Regions from separate parts of the Mus musculus genome. Here region 1 is reported to be linked to region 2. Evidence: microRNA targets listed by miRTarBase, many of them from high-throughput screens and not tested one by one. Region 2 holds a microRNA gene; the other region holds the end of a gene's coding sequence.
The links. Region 2 holds the annotated microRNA mmu-miR-350-3p (UUCACAAAGCCCAUACACUUUC, at 5,305-5,326, opposite strand). A microRNA usually pairs through its seed, bases 2 to 8, with sites in the 3' UTR of a target mRNA and lowers its output. Matches are read on the target gene's strand: a 7mer-m8 pairs with bases 2 to 8, a 7mer-A1 pairs with bases 2 to 7 and ends in A, and an 8mer does both.

Region 1 (7,631 bases), not on the chromosome of region 2:
TGCCTGGGAATCTCTGTCCCTGTCCTCTCAGGGCTGCCTGTGTATCAAGTCACTATTCAAAGATCGCTCAGTGACCCCCTCCTGTACAGTCATTTCGCGGTGTAAGTGTGTGCTTGTGCGTGTCCCTCGCTGACACCGGAGCTCCCTGCTCACTGTCTCTTAAAGAGTCGGGGGCGACAGTCGGCGCTCTGGGTTTGTCAGAGCAAAGAAGGACAAGAGGCAAAGTAGTCTGAGTTTGGGGGTAAAGTCTAACCCGCAAAGGTTAGACTCTTTCTTCGGAGTCCTACTGCGCAGGAGAAGAGACCGGCCTCTGAACCAGGTTTGCACCCAAATCTCACTTTCTTTTCAGGGCGCGCAGGCCCACTTGGCTTAACCTGCCAGAGCCTCAGTTTCCTAACCTGCGAGGTGCGGGGACTTTAAAGTGCCTGGCCCTTAGTAAACGCAGTAGCAGCGAGAGTGGCCTCTCCCCACTCCCCCGCAACCACTGCCAGCAACGGTAGGGCGCTGTTTCCAACAAGTCGGGGAAACTAAGGCCAAGATTGCCCTCACACCCCATACACCTAGAGCAGGCCGCTTCGGCGACCGATTCGTGGGTGGAGAGCCTCAGAAGCCGGGCTGGCTAGATGAGCCGCTTGCAACCTACGCCCTATGCTCGTCGCCTGGTCCCTAGGATACAGCGGGGCCCTGCGCGGCTGGGCGCGATCCCGGTGCGGTCGGGCGCGTGCACAGCGCGCATCACGTGGCGGACTGTGACTTCAGGGCTGCGCACAGCTCAGTCCCGAACAAGTCTGTTTCCCATCGTCCCCTCATTTGCATATACAATGTAAAAAGAGTTTTCGAATATAAATGAACTTACTCTGAGTCTAAATAAAAAAATTTCGAACATATAACATAAAACCTAGAAGGTACTACTTTGGGGAGTCATTGATTTTGAAAACAATATAGAAACTTCTCACCATAATCTAAAAGGAACTTAAAATTTTGTCCTTATATACTTCCTGAGAAAATGGGCTGTTCGTGCTCGCTTCGGCAGCACATATACTAAAATTGGAACGATACAGAGAAGATTAGCATGGCCCCTGCGCAAGGATGACACGCAAATTCGTGAAGCGTTCCATATTTTTCCTACTTAATTTTTTTTTCCCTCATGAAGTCCAAAACAGCCCCAACGGTTTTACCTTTTGCTTGACTAAATCGAACCATTGTACTCAAGGAAGGAATGTGAGGCGTGACATAAGCAGACCCATCACTTTGCAATGCGCCTTATCCATGGGCTTCAGTTGCAGTTTGTGACTTATTTTAATTTTTGAGATAGGTCTCACAGGTTCCACCATGACCCCGAGTTTGCTATACAGTCTAGGATAACCTCAAACTTAAGCTCTTCCTGCCTCCACGTCCCCATTGCTGGGATTACAGGCGTGCACTACCACACCTGGCTCCAGCTCATCTCTCCCCTCCTCAATAACCTATTTCTTCACCTTAGCCCTAAGGAATGGTTTTGCTAAAGCCGTAGAGTCACCTGGGCGAGACTAGCAAGCCTTTAAAACTAGGTCTGATACCTTTGAAGAGACACTGGCTATGGAAGCAAAATTTCCTGGTTGCACAATATTTACTAGTTATTGCCAAATAACTAGTGCATAAATAATGCTTAAATCTTAACCATCAAGATGAAGAAGAAACGACCACCCTCCTTAAGTTCAAATTTCCTGTGCTGATTTACTCAGTGCTTTCTGACATACCAATTTCTTCCTCAAAGAAAAATGGGGTATGTGCTTCCCTGGTTCCTGAGCCCGCGCGTGGGCTCTGCAGCCCCTGGGACGCCTGCGGTTCCCGGGCTCGCCCCAGTGACACCTGTGATCAGCCCTGAAGACCAGGGTGGACTAGGTGAACCCCACATGCCGCCGCTGGCTGTAGAGCAGCGTACCACTCTGTATATATTTCTGTTTTAGTCTGTGGAGGTGACATGACCCCTTCCTGATTACAGTGGCTGAATCAAGATCTGTGGGACTCCTTGCGCCTCGGCTTTCCGCCTTCCTTTAAAGCATAGACTGGCCTAGAATCGTATCAACAGTTCTGTTTCAATCAGATGTCCCATTTGGATAAACAGTTTTAAATTATCTCCCAGAGTGCTGTCAATCAAAGTCACTACGGATACTAGTGTGGTGCTTCATCCTCCGACAGGAAGGACTGGCAGGATCGCTTATGTTGGAATGGAGTGGTATAGGAACTCAGTAGAAACCCCCTGAATCTTAAGGACAGGACCTGGCATTCTGTTGGGGTATGCAATCCTTAGGGCTAGGAAAAAAAAAAAAATCTAAAGCCCTGATTGTCTTTTCTGGCTCTACTCTAACTTGCTCAAATACTTGGGCCAATCTCTTGCCCCTTTGGCCACCTGTAGCCATCCAACGTTGGCACCTTATGATGTCTTTCCAACGTGGGTTTTTATGGCTGCTTTCAAGTGTCTTCAGAAAGCTCAGAAGGCCAGGCTGGAGAGAGCACTGCTCTGTCCCCTTTCGTGGGCGCTAGAGGAGGGGAGGTCCACAGACTGGATAATGCCCTATGGGGGTGTGTCCTTTCCTATCACACACAGATGTGCTAGCTCTTCTTCACCCAGACTGTCTTCCAGGGTTTACCTGCATTAGCTCATCCCTGCATGAAGTCATGTTTTAAGCAGAAACAGAGTTCCAACTCTTGTTGTGGGTTCCCTACCACACAAGGAGAGGCAGAGAACTTGGTTACAGAGTTTATACTCTTAGCACATCACCGAACACCACCGGGGCCTCTGGATGGGGAGGACCAGGTGAGGCTGTTTAGAATGATGGAAAGCATGGAGGGGTCGTGAAGGGCAGTTTTGCTTCTACTGGCGATCCGGATTCTAGGTGAGAGTTGCATATCTGCAAAGGCTTACGGTTGTACGGTGTGGCAGGGTAGTTGGGAATGTGTGAACCATGGGCTTGCAAAATGTGGAGGTAGTGTTCTTGAGACACAGTTGGGACAGGAGGAAGGGTTTTCTTTCCTAAGTTGATGATAAATTACTCGACACCCTGCCCCAACACTAATTCTATTGATGAAGGATCTTCTTTGAGAGCAGCGAGCTCTCGAGCTTAATTAACCTTATGTAAATGAGCGTAATTGCATCTCAGTGGCTGTTGTCCGGAAGCACCTGGGGATCCCTTCCCTCAGACGTTTCCAGCACCTAGATGAACTATCCTTTCACGTGGATATTCCACGTGGGCACCGTGTACCGTTGGAGGAAAAATAAGATATGACCTTAGTTGTGGAGGTACTTGTGGTCCCCTGGGAGGCCGACTCATACAGCCAAAGATAACAAGAAAGTAAGTGTCCTCCTAGACTCAGGAACCTGAAGCCCTGTAGAACTCAGAAGTTAGCTGTGCCAGGGACGTGAGGAACCCATTGGCAGAGGAGACAGAGGTGAGAAGCAATTTACTGGTGTCTCAAGGGCATAAAACATCTCTCTACTTAGTCTCTTAGGAAAGGTTTGTCGCAGTGGTGGAGAGCGACAATCTGTCCCACGCAGCTCCCAAAAGGGATGGAGTTCCTCTAGAGAAAGGACGTGGACGGGCATGTTTACATAGCTCCCCAGCTCCGGACCTGTATTCCAGAGGCAGAGTCTTGTAGGGAACGCAGGGAAACAGAGTTGCCAAAGCAAACACCCGGAGAAATCCGGTGTCCACAATCCCCCTTAATCCCGCAAGCACACTTTTCTCTGCTAGAGCGAAGGTGTCTGAGCCGCTTGCGATGGCTGTAATGCCTAAAGTTCGTCGCAAGGTGGCAACATTGTGGCGAGAAATAGACATTAAAAATCCTGGGTTTTTTTTTAAAGCATATTTTCTCTATTAATGTTTCATTTAACTTAATTAGAATCTGGTAAGCTAATTAAAGTAGCTACGAGCCCCGCAATCAGCAATAATTCGTATAATTATTGATAATTACATCCATACCAATCGTTTGGTTATTAACATTTTGGGGGGGAACAAGCCATTTCTAAGTGATGCAGAGCCCAGGAGGGTTTCTGTGTTTTGTAGTTTGTTTTATTTTTTTGCGCGATGGAACTTTCTAGGTCGAATCCACCAACACCTCCAACCCTGAGAGGCTCCCTACCATCTGAGGCTCTCCTTCTGGCTAGCCCAAGGTCCCTGTATACTTTTTTCCACTTTGGGGGAGTTTGGAGGGAAAACGCGAGAATTCAATATTCTCCAGACTCCTTAGTTGGTGTGTAGCCACGGACCTTCGGGCTTAGGTGGCAACTGTCCTGCCCATTTTACAGAAAAGGGTTGTGCATTTAGATGCATTGAGACCACAGAATACTCGAATGCAATCTGCAAGTGTCCTCTCCTGCAGGGGTGCCCTGGGAACACAAGTCACTTCCTAAGTGGGTCTCACTTTCGCGGTGGGTGCAGCCCAGAAGTGAGCAGAGTAACCATGCCCTTTTTACCTCACCCCTACATAAATGATTCCAAGGCCTTGGGGATCCCAGAAAGAGAATAGCAAGAGGGAGCCCTACAGTTTGCCTGGTTGACCCCACCACCCTTACTTCCACACCAGTCTTGTTCTCTCAGTATCCGAGGCTTGAAGGGTCTCAGCCACAGCCCAGGGACTGAGTAGTCTTGGGTTTCACCCGTGCAAGGGGCTCAGCATCTGCTTCTCTTCGCCATCACCCAGACTGTGTCCCAGCTTGCCTGCATCACAAAAGGCCTCCAGTGAAACTCCCCGCCTGAAACTCCAGAGAACTGCAGGACCCGACTTCGACTTCGCTTCCAAGGTCCCCTAGAGAGTGCTTGGGGAGAGCCTGCGGTGCTAGGCTGAGAGCCTGTTCTTGGAGGCGATGGTCCAGGCAGCGGCCTGCAGATGGGCTTTCTTCTTGGAGTGTTTCCCTGAGCCTCAGGGCAGAGACAGTCGAACGACATTTAATGGAGATTGGGAAGTGAGGACCTGGAAAAAATAAAGGGCACATCGCAGGACCTTTGCTAGCCAGAGGAGGACATGAAAGCCAGTCTGGGCTGAAAAATTCGTAAGAGAAAGAGCTTTTTCAGTTCCGTCCTCCACACTACTCAGGAAAGAATGGGTTTCCTGCAGTTTCCTTGCAGAAACTGAGGCTGGTGGCCTCTAGGTGAGGATTTGCATTTCCGGGCCACAGCCCGGGGAGAGTCCTGGCCCTTGCATCTGCAGCCAGCAGACCTCACATTCCTCATGGGGTTTGGTTTCTCCAGCTCCAAAAATGCCCTGGGACTAGGAGGGGGAGATTATTATAATGAGGACAGAGCTTCCTCCTTCGGGGTAGAGACAGGCTTCTTGAGGATGCACCACAGGGCATCTGTCTGGGCGGGACGGCAAACTCTCAGCATCTTTTCTAGATCAGTTTCGCCAAGCTCCTTTCTAGCCCTTCACTCCTCACTTCTACCAGGCCAGTGTTCCTGGTCTATGATGCCCGCTTCAGCAAGCAGAGCAATTATGATCGAATTCTGGATTCCTAACAGCTTGGAGAGGCTTCTCTTGCTGAGTGCACCCCAAATCCCTGCAGGTGACTTCACACATAGGAAATGTAAGGGGTAAAAATTAACTTTCCGGCTGTACAAGCAAATCGCAGGAAGGAAGGGACCACTGTCCAGGGGACAAGGCAGTAATCCCCCTCCCCGGGTAAAGCCGGGGGGGGGGGGGAGATGCAGCCCTGATGCGGGGGAGGAGATTGAGTGAGTTTTAGGTGGATCTGTAGAGTGGTCCTGGAGCGCTATGAGGTCTCCTGAGAGAGCACCACCGCTCTAACCTTGACCACTGGTCCTCACTTGCATCCGGAAGCCCCATCTTTGAGTGGCAGCGTCTTCCACCTTCCCACCCTCTTCCTCCTCCACCTACTGGATGCACTCTCAACTCCGCAGCCCCAAGGAGTAACAGATTTTTTTTTCTTTTTATTAAAAACAAAAGTCACGGATACAGGTCTCCCCAAATAGGCTCAAGATGGTCGCCATCTCGTGAGTCAGTTGTCGCCCTTTTAAAGTGCTGTTACATTACACAACAACAACAACATCAACAACAACAAAATCACAAAGCAAATCCAAAGAGGAATGAATGTAAAACGAGGACTGGAAAGGGTCCCAGGGGAAGTAAAATAACTTACAGTATAAATAAAGTGAACCTAATACTGAACCAAGAGACTCACAGTCCAGTTTGTCTCCATTGCACATAGCCACGTTGTCGTTAGGAACAAGAGTTTCAGAAGTGGACAGGACGGGGAGTGCACGGCCATAGCCAGCGAAGATGCTACGTTATATTCACATTCGGGGTCCCAGGCCCTACTCGGGCCCGAGTGGGAGGGGTCGTAGAAGAGGTCTCCCCTCTTCCCTTTCTTTCCCCGGTGGGTCCAGTTTACCCCTTGAGGTCTGATGCCCTGGAGTTCAAAGGAGGGGCGAGGCAGTATTTACAATGGGAAACCCAACGGAGCCCGGCTGGGGACCGGCGGGCGGGCGGCTGTATTTACAACGGTCAGGTCCTAATGGCTTGTTCCTCGCTCTGGGCCGCCACTGCAGCGGGTATTTACAGAAAGGAGCAGCATGGCTTGAGGGCGCGTGGGCGCGGCCAAGCCGGCGCTAGGGCAGCAGCGGAGGCTTGAAGGAGCAGTTGCCGGTGCAGTGCCGGGGTGTCAGCATCTTGCAGGAGAAGTGGTGCAGGGCGTCGTGAGCTTCTGGAGAGAGAGTCACACCAACCTCGTTGGCCGCCTCGCCTGCCTCCCTGCCCCCCACCCAGCTCCACCAGTCTCCCCTCCCCCTCGCTGGACCCATCCAGCCCTTGGGCACAGGAATTCTCAATGGAGCAGAAGGGAGGTAGAGGGGCAAGAGTGAGGCTCTGGCCAGTCAGAACTATTTCTTAGGTCCATTAGCCCCATTTTACAGACGGGGAAACCGAGGCACAAAGAGGTCTAATTGTCCCAGTCTAGGGTTAGGCCAGAAAGCAAATTTTCGGATGCTCAGAGCTCAATGGGCTTTTTCGTCCTACATCAAAGTTATAAAATTTCACCCCAGTTCCCTTCTGATCCACGTGGACCCAGGCCGCCTTTCTTTCAAACATCTCCATAACTACACCCACCTACACACCCACCCACCATTCACCATCCATTCACCCACCCACCCAATAGTACAACCAGCCTTGACTCTCTCTCAGTCTGTCTGTCTGTCTGTCTGTCTGTCTGTCTCTTATCTTTGTTTCTGGGTTCACACCTTTTAATTTCTGCTGGATGGCATAGCGGGCCTTCCTCTCCTGGTCCAGTTCGTTACACAAGGTATCTGGAAGACATGGAAGTTCTGTGAGACCACCCTCTAGGCAGATGGCTGAGGTCACAGCCTGGGCACAACCTCTCCCCTACAGAAACCACCCCAGAAACTAAGGAGGGGACACCTACACTTCAAACTGCAGGCTGGGAAGCTGGGGGAGGAAATGGCCTGGGATGGCGCTTAAAGGCAGACGGATCTAACCAAAATTAAAGCAAACTTAGGCATTACTTCCCAGGTAATTTTACGCCTCGATTTTTAATTTAGAAACCGTGGAAATTGCAGCGCTAAGAAGTTCAATCACTCCACGTAATGATGCCTGCAAGCCGTTTGCTGGGCTCGCTTGCC
Region 2 (8,293 bases):
CTTCAATGAAGGAATAAGAAAGGAAATAAAACTATATGGGAGTTTTGCAGATCAAAACAAATTTAGTTGGACAACAGCTGCTCCAACTTCTATCATACATACTCCAACTTTAAAGAGGGAGCTACAGATAACTGAGCATGTCTGTTTATTACTCTAGACCTTTCAAGTCTCTGCTTATGCCTCAGTCTAGCTTTTTTTGCCCTTTATTTTCTCTGCAATCATCCATTTATCACTTCATCTTCTTCAGATGTCTAAATCCAGTTCTCCATGTTTGTTCTAGCAAAGCCTAGTTTTAAGCTGGCCTGACCTCGGCGTCTAGCTTTAACCATACCTCCTGAACTCTCAGCTTTCTTACTGTGGCAGACACATGACAATGGAGTGACTTTGAAGCAGTATTGGTTTTAGATTTTTCTGGTTTACACAACTTAAGAATGGACAAATTAGCTATCCAGTTGCATAATACCATTCTTTTTAATGGTCCTTGCTCTAAAATCTTGGGTTTCTCCATTCTGAAAGTGATGATGTATTAAAGGGCTCCTTGAGAATGAAAATGATGCATATGATAATTTTAGACAACAATTAATGATCAGATTCTGTGAACTCCCCATTGCCTATCACTTTCCTAAGTAGGCCTATCTGTAGAAATGCCTTCTTTCTGCACACTGCACCAGGCCAGGCTTGTCCCTTGTACTATAATTTCCACCTTGGGTTTTTTTTTTATTTAACCCCTTTAGTGCTGAAAAAACTTTACAGGACTCACCAGACTTTGGGTAGAGAGTCATATGTAGAAATGACTAATATAAAAACTAATAATTAAGAGGTCCTCTTCATACAGCTATATGACATGACAAGCTTCCTATGTGTTTTTTAAATACCTGTTGAGCCTAAAAAGTCTTAATTTCTTAAACAAATGACACTTACGCTTAAAGAGATTGATTTAACCCAAGAGGATAAGTAGTACATATAGTTTAGACACTTAATTCCAGATGCTTGGAAACAGCCATGTTCTTAATGAATATATATAATCATAAAATAATATTTAATAAAAAATATTACTCAACTGTGGAGTAAACTGTCTATGGCCTTTTAAAGTCCATACTTCTTTTTTAACAATGGTCAAAGTACTGCTTACATATAACACTTATTTTCAAGACTAACACGTCTCTAAAAGTCAGGCACAATGCCACTCTAACAGTAGAATAAGTACAGACTCAATACATTTATGCTTACAAATTATACATGTATATCAGTCAATGCATTGCAAATACTACAGAACAAATACTAAAATAAAAATAATATAATGAGAATCAAAAGTGAACATAGTCATACTATTTTTGCCTACATCCCAGAGGGTTATATCTTGGTCGTTCTTTGACGGACAATTCTTAAAATTAGAATATTCTAAATGTTAATGTACACACGAACCACATGGTTATCTTGTTTTTAATATAGAAACTGATTGAATATATATGTATTAGCCACTTAAGTGATATCAATGTTGTTCACTCATGAGCATATTTTCAGTAACAAGAATTTAAACAAGAGATTTATGTTTAGTCAAACTTAGATTGCTATTTTCCATGTGGTAAAATAAATAGCTCATTCTAAGGTCCACCATTTACTATCATAACAAATTGGGAAGTACTTTATAAATCATACAACAATCACCTTGTAAATAAATAAGTAACATCAAAGAAATATCTGAAATATAGACAAATCATTAGGACTGGACTGGATAAACCTGACTAAAATGAACAAAACATATAAACACTGATTTTGTTCTGATTCAGCACAGATAGTAGTGAAGAGAAACAAACAGAAAATGGGTAAAGCTAATCAAAGCAAATGCTATTCATCTGCTCCCCAAATGAAATTAGTAGGTAGAAAATCAGTTAACATTTATATTCATGTAGAAATCTATTTCCTTGTTCAGTTTCCATAGAAATAAACATGAAATGACAATGAAATTTATATACCTTAAAAAGGCCCAGGTAGTTTAAGTGTAGAAGACTTAAAATTTAGGAAAATTCAGAATATAAGTGAATTGCTTGCTATTAGTCTTCTAGGTCCCTAACAAAACCCTAAAGTCCCAACTCCACCTATTGCATGAGAACATTTCGCACCACCTCTCCAATAAGGTCCAAGAGTCAACAGCCCCCCACAACTACCATCATACTCAAATTTCAATTATTTACCTTGTCAATCATTTTTCTTGCTTCCACCTCCTCACTGTTGGGATTCTCTAACTCAATGGTATAAGTACCCTTGTCACTTTGGTCATCATCATTATCCTTTTCTGAAGAGGCAGAAGTAGCTTGATTTTTTAACATTACATCCATCTCCTGGCTTGGTCTGTGCCCAAGACTCCCTGAACTTCTTAATAATGCAGTTTGTAGGAAGGGTAGTGACACCGATGGCTCCTCTGATTTCTGTTTTAACAATTTCCCATGTGGAACACCATGCCCCCCTCTGTGATGCGTAGAGCTAGTCTGTAAAGACAAAGAAACCACTTTGGCATCTGCTGGTGGAGATTTTGCTTTTTCAAGTTTTTTATGTGGTGTTGAGAAAGTAGTTTCCTGACATAAGATGCCTGAACTTTGAGTAAAAGAATATGACCTTCTCTTTCTGGAATGATCTTCATCAAAGAATGCAATCATAAAAGCAGTTTGACTTACAGCAGCCTGTTCTTGATGCTTCTCGGTGGACTGGGCCTTCTTTTTCTGCTCTGAGTGATGGCGGCGTAAATGTTCCTCCAGAGTTGCACGCTTGCTACAGCGCCTGTGTGCCCCAGCATTCTCTGAATCACTCTGTGTACCATCATCATGTTTGTTTCCTGGACACAAAAAAAGACATGATATAATAGAGAAGAAAAAAATTCCATGTAGAAAATCAGAAGCACATACAAAAGTGTCATTTGTTTTGCTACCCTTCCCCTTTCTAAGACAGAGTTGTATGTCCTTTAGTGTAACAGGTTCTGCATACTGCCCTCCTGCACAACAGTTATAATTATATTTCACCCGTCAATGAGGCCCTTTATAAACAACTGAGTTATTACTTTTCTTTCTCTAAATCTCAACTTTATAAAAGATTCCTCAATCCCTTAAAAGAATAAGCGATGTTCCATCACCTGTCATAGTTTGTACTTCTAACATTAATACACATTCGCTCTGCCTCTCAATCGTAAACCTTTGGTACTAAACAAACAAAAAAAAGACCAGACTCCAAGGTTTCAACCCTACACAAAGAACTACAGGCAACTAAGGGATGCCAAGAGTGGGGGAAACAGTCGTCCCCAAGGAAGAACACACCAACTGATTATCCAATATCAAATGGTCAGCCCTGCCTGAAAACATCAGAAAAGCAAGATTATATAGACACAGTAGATTGTTTAGAAATTATGTATGTAAGAACAATTAATGAAAAAAGTGAGCAATAATTTGAAAAAGAGTGAGAAGAGGTTTATGGGAGGGTTTGTACAGAGGAAAGGAAATGGGAAAGTAAAATGATTATAATCGCAACAAATAAAAGGAATCATTTAAAAGACTGGTGTAACCGAAACACTATTTAACACAATATGAATGTCATTAAAATGGAGTATATCTAAATTATGATATTCAATAATTTTAAAAGTTCAACACACCTTTCAATAAAAAGACTGAAATTTGTAGCTACTATTAGTAACAACCAATGTTTACAAATGTTTTCTTAGAACTCTAGTGGCTTCAAAGAGTTAAATGATGCTGACATCCTACCAACTACAAAGACTTCTACTATACCCTTCCTTCTAATAAACTACATGGTACAGATATAGGTAGATACCATGTCCAATATTATACTAGCCTCCCAATAAAGGTTTTTCTAGATCAGAGCAAGAGTTACTCTAGGCATGTGTGGTGGTTTGAATATGTTTGACCAAAGGAGTGGCATCATTAGGGGGTATGGCCTTGTTGGAGGAGGTGTGGCCATGTTGGAGGAAGTCTGTCACTGTGCTGGTGGGCTTTGAGAACCTACTCTAACCATGTGGGAGCCCGTTTTCTAGCTGCCTTCAGATGAAGATGTAGAACTCTCAGCTCCTCCTGCACCATGCCTGCCTGGATGCTGCCATACTCTTGCCTTGATGATAATGCACTAAACCTCGGAACCTGTAAGCCAGCTCCAATTAAATGTTCTTTTAAGAGTTGCCTTGGTCATGGTGTCTGTTCATAGCAGTAGAACCCTAAGACAGCATGATTTAGATGGATCACCAATCAAGGATTAACAAAAATCTTTTCAAAGTTATAAATGAATCTAGTATATTAGAATGTACATTGACAGAATCCAATCTTGTAGAAATAATCTGACTTTGAAACATTCCCACGCTGTCTACTCTAAAGTAAACATCTGTCAACAAGAGAGCAATCAGAAAGAAAAGGCTTGCTGTGTATGAAAGAATGAGATGTATGTCTAGGGGAAAGGATTTATAACGTGTATGGGTTTGTTCCTAGTAAATCTGGAAGCTCCCAATAACAGTGAAATATAACACAAGAGAACTACCTGTAAAATGTAGTACATAAAAGAAATGAGGACAGACAAGGGAATGGTAGAACTGAATGACATCTTGAAAAAGGAGGAGAAACGGAGGGCACTACTATGGTAAAGATAAGGCAGATTCAAAGTGACAGATTAACATAAAAATCAAATGAGATGAATGTAAAAATTCTTCAAATTATTTACTATCCAAAAAGTACTATGAAAAGAAAAAAAAACCCAACAATGTGCTTAATTAGTGGAATCTCCAACACTGATAATTTAGGAATCATGAGTAGTATATGGAAAACAAACAGAGATGTAACTACTAGTTTAGACACACATTTTATTATAGTACTGTTTAAAACATACTGGGTTGGATAAACTGAATAGGAATTCAGTTTGTTAAGGTCCAAAAGAATAAACACTAATAGTTTCTATACTGTTAGACCTGTAAGTAAGACTGTAAATTTACTTCAGAATTTTTAATGAAAACACAAGTTTCATTGTTACTAATCTGTTGGAGATTAGTCATTTTCTTTCTTATAAAGCTATTAGTCCTTCTAGTGCTTCTGTGTATTACCCAAGGGGAAAAGTTGAGGCATGATTAGATCAGAGTTGTAATCTTATGTTTCTATTCAGTAAAAAGACCACGCAGAAATGCTCAGCATACTTCTTAACCCCTCTGCTGATCTCTAACTATCCTAAATACAGACATTCACTTGCTATCCCTCAGGTTAGCTTGGCTGTACTTTGTGAGAAGTTGGTATAAAGCAAGCTGCAACTCTCCTAAAGGGTGAAAGTGTATGGGCTTTGTGAACATTATTTTCCTCACTGTCCCAAAGCGCATGCACTTTACTCTTGTAGGAGCAAGGCATCTATCTATCTATCTATCTATCTATCTATCTATCTATCTATCTATCTATCTATCTATCTATATCTCATATCAATTGATTTTCACAGTTGCTCAAAGTCCAAGTTTTAATAAATTGTTACTAACTACTATCTACCTCCGTTATTCAAAATCTGAATGTATCCGTTTTATAAACTAATGGGAAACTTATTTATTGATAACAGCTCTGAATTTTGAAGAAAGTTAATGTCATTTGTAAATAAGTATGAAGAAATAAATAGCATGGCTCTATTTGGGATACAAAGTGAGTTATTGCTGGGAAAAATTTTTTTTGGATGGCTTTCAAAATAGGCTAATGTCAAGTATGAAAGAATAATTCAAGGTCAATAGTGATTAGACTAATTTTTGGCAAAATTTAAAAATATATTCTGATCAGTATAAAGACAGTGTTCATATGGGTATTAATGATTCTACTTCTAATTTGGCTCAAATAGGTCCTGGTGAAGAGCAGAGAATATACTAAAATGATGGCTTAAGGATAATTGTTAATACAGAAAACATTTAACAATTACACTGCTATAAAAGGATTTTCAGTATTTCTCTAAGTATTATTTTATTTTATGCCTATGAGTGTTTTGCCTTCAAGCATGTAAGTTTACCCTGTGAGTGCCTGATACCTGAAGAAGTCACAAGAGGACACTGGATCCCCTCTTTATGGATGGTGTGGAGCCAACATATGGATGCTGAAAATTAAACCTGGGTCCTAACTGCTAAGCTACCTCTCCAGCTCCTTAACAAAGATATTTTGATGGAATCTTGCCAAAGGATCTTTTTAATTCATCCTTCATCTATGCAGTAAGTGTATGGGTTTTAAGAAGACTCATTTTCAAGGCATATACTACCTCTGATATACTACTAGCTTATCACTATTTTTCATCAAATTTACATTAGCAGTCATTTTACATGTTATCTTTAACCTTTGCATGCGTATGATTCAACTATGATATAACTAACATGTAGGAGGAGTAAATATATCACAATCAGAATTCAATTATCTTTCTGCTAGGTAACTGCTGATCACTATAATTAAAGCCAGAGTCAGTCCTGTCATTAACAATGAAGCCATTAGATAATAGCCTATGCTGAAGTCCCAGATGCAGGGTTAAGGAATACAGTAGGCTATATATGTTCCCTGACCCCAAAAAGCAGTTTTTAGAATAGAATTAATCATCTCCCCATAAAAGCCACAGAACTGTCAAATTCACAATCATTTGTTCAAAGCAATTCCCTTATTGATAGCATATTAAAATACAAAACAAAATAACACAAATTCCAAAAGAAATTCAATTCACAAAACCAGTGGGAAGAAAGCTGATTAGTTGTTACAATCAATATACATGCAATGACTGTAACTAAGTGTTGAATAAAGTATATGTAATAGCTAATATTACTATATAATATGATTAATTTCTGCAAATGAACATCAAATTGCAGTTGACAGCACAAACTTTGTGTTAGAATTGTAGATACCTAGTGAATGTATCTCAGCTGAAAGCGTCTGTGTGTGAGGAGCTTCTGCACACAGCTGACAGTGTGAAGCACTCACTCCAGCGCAATCTGACTTTCTGGTGTAAGCAGGTAAGTAGCTTAATTTTGTTTTCAAAACCTAGAAATGGTGCTATATTGGAAGCATGATAGAGAGAAAAAGAACTGTACATATCTTTTCTTTAAATCAAGAAAATGATGGGGATTATTTTCAGGAAAATTCTGCTTTGTATAATTAATAGATTTTTATTTCTGCAGGTAAAGAGATTAAATGACATAAGTAACCTGCCATCCCCAAACCAATGTGGTTTTGGCAAGAAAACAAAGAAAAGCTAATATGAATGAGAAATCTGGACATAAACAGTGCTGTTTGCTCTTGAGCTTTAAAATTAAACGTAAATTTTGAAAAAGATATTTTCCAGTGTATAATTAAGTAACAGTAGTCTGTCTGGTAACTTATGATACAATAGGAATCTCTGAAGATCACTTTACCTTTCAACCTTTTCAAGTACACAGGAACATCACTTTTAATGCTCTTGGAATCCTCCTCTGTTCTTTCCCACACCATTTGAGGAGGGTTGTTTTGGGCTAGCCAGTCAGCTACTTTATTTTCTGGTGCCATCATTCCTGTCTGAATTCCTGGCAAGTCTTGAGTTCCTGGAGAGGCCTTCTTTGACTTGTGGCGCTGGTCAGAAGTGAATTTTGTCACATGGTCTCTAATAGTTACTTTTCCTGGCGTACTGTCATCAAATTCAATGGTAAATGAAGCATGCCCTGCACCTGCTGTATGGGAACTTGGTGTGTCTTTTGTTGGAATCTCATGAATAGTGCTCTCTGCTATTTGTGATGGCTGCTGGAATTCTTTTGTAGGAATTTCAAAATAACTTGGCTCCCTACAGAAGGGAAAAAGTGCTTCTTCACTTGCAGCCGCAGACTGTCCCTCCACGTGCTTGGCCTCTGTGCTGCACCCTAATGAGGAAAAGGAGAGAGAATTCAAAATATTTGGAAGCCTGAAGCATGAGGGTCATTGGTAATGACCATTACTATTCTGAGAATCAGAAGGCAGATTAACAGCCTGGATGAAAAGAATTGCACTCGTATGTTAGACAGATGTAACAGACAAGGAACGGTCTTGACTATGATCAGGAGATGCAAGGTGAACAGCAGCAATGCCAAAAAAAAGCAAAGCAGGAAAACTCAAGGTGAGAAAGAATTAAAGTATGGATGGAGATGCTCTGTACATATACACACACTGTTTGATAGAAAAAGCATGAATAGCCTCAACACGTCACCGAATGGGCTATTTGAAACATTTGTGAATAATGTAGGGCTCTAATAGTGAAGAGGTAGTCAGGTGAAGATGGAGATATGAAATTAATACATAAGCGA

Region 1: miRTarBase lists Skor1 as a target of mmu-miR-350-3p. Seed matches in the 3' UTR shown: 7mer-m8 at 6,061-6,067.

What each region holds. Positions count from the first base shown.
Region 1 is chr9:63,132,266-63,139,896 of GRCm38, forward strand. Skor1 (SKI family transcriptional corepressor 1) reads right to left here. Exons shown (of 9, transcript NM_172446.3): 8 at 7,233-7,298; 9 at 5,899-6,700. The coding sequence ends at 6,606. Gm25064 (a small nuclear RNA gene) reads left to right here and starts at 1,018; the gene lies at 1,018-1,124.
Region 2 is chr1:176,767,038-176,775,330 of GRCm38, forward strand. It overlaps Mir350 (microRNA 350), which reads right to left and starts at 5,386; the gene lies at 5,288-5,386. Cep170 (centrosomal protein 170) reads right to left here. Exons shown (of 20, transcript NM_001099637.2): 8 at 7,397-7,873; 9 at 2,676-2,833; 10 at 2,196-2,489.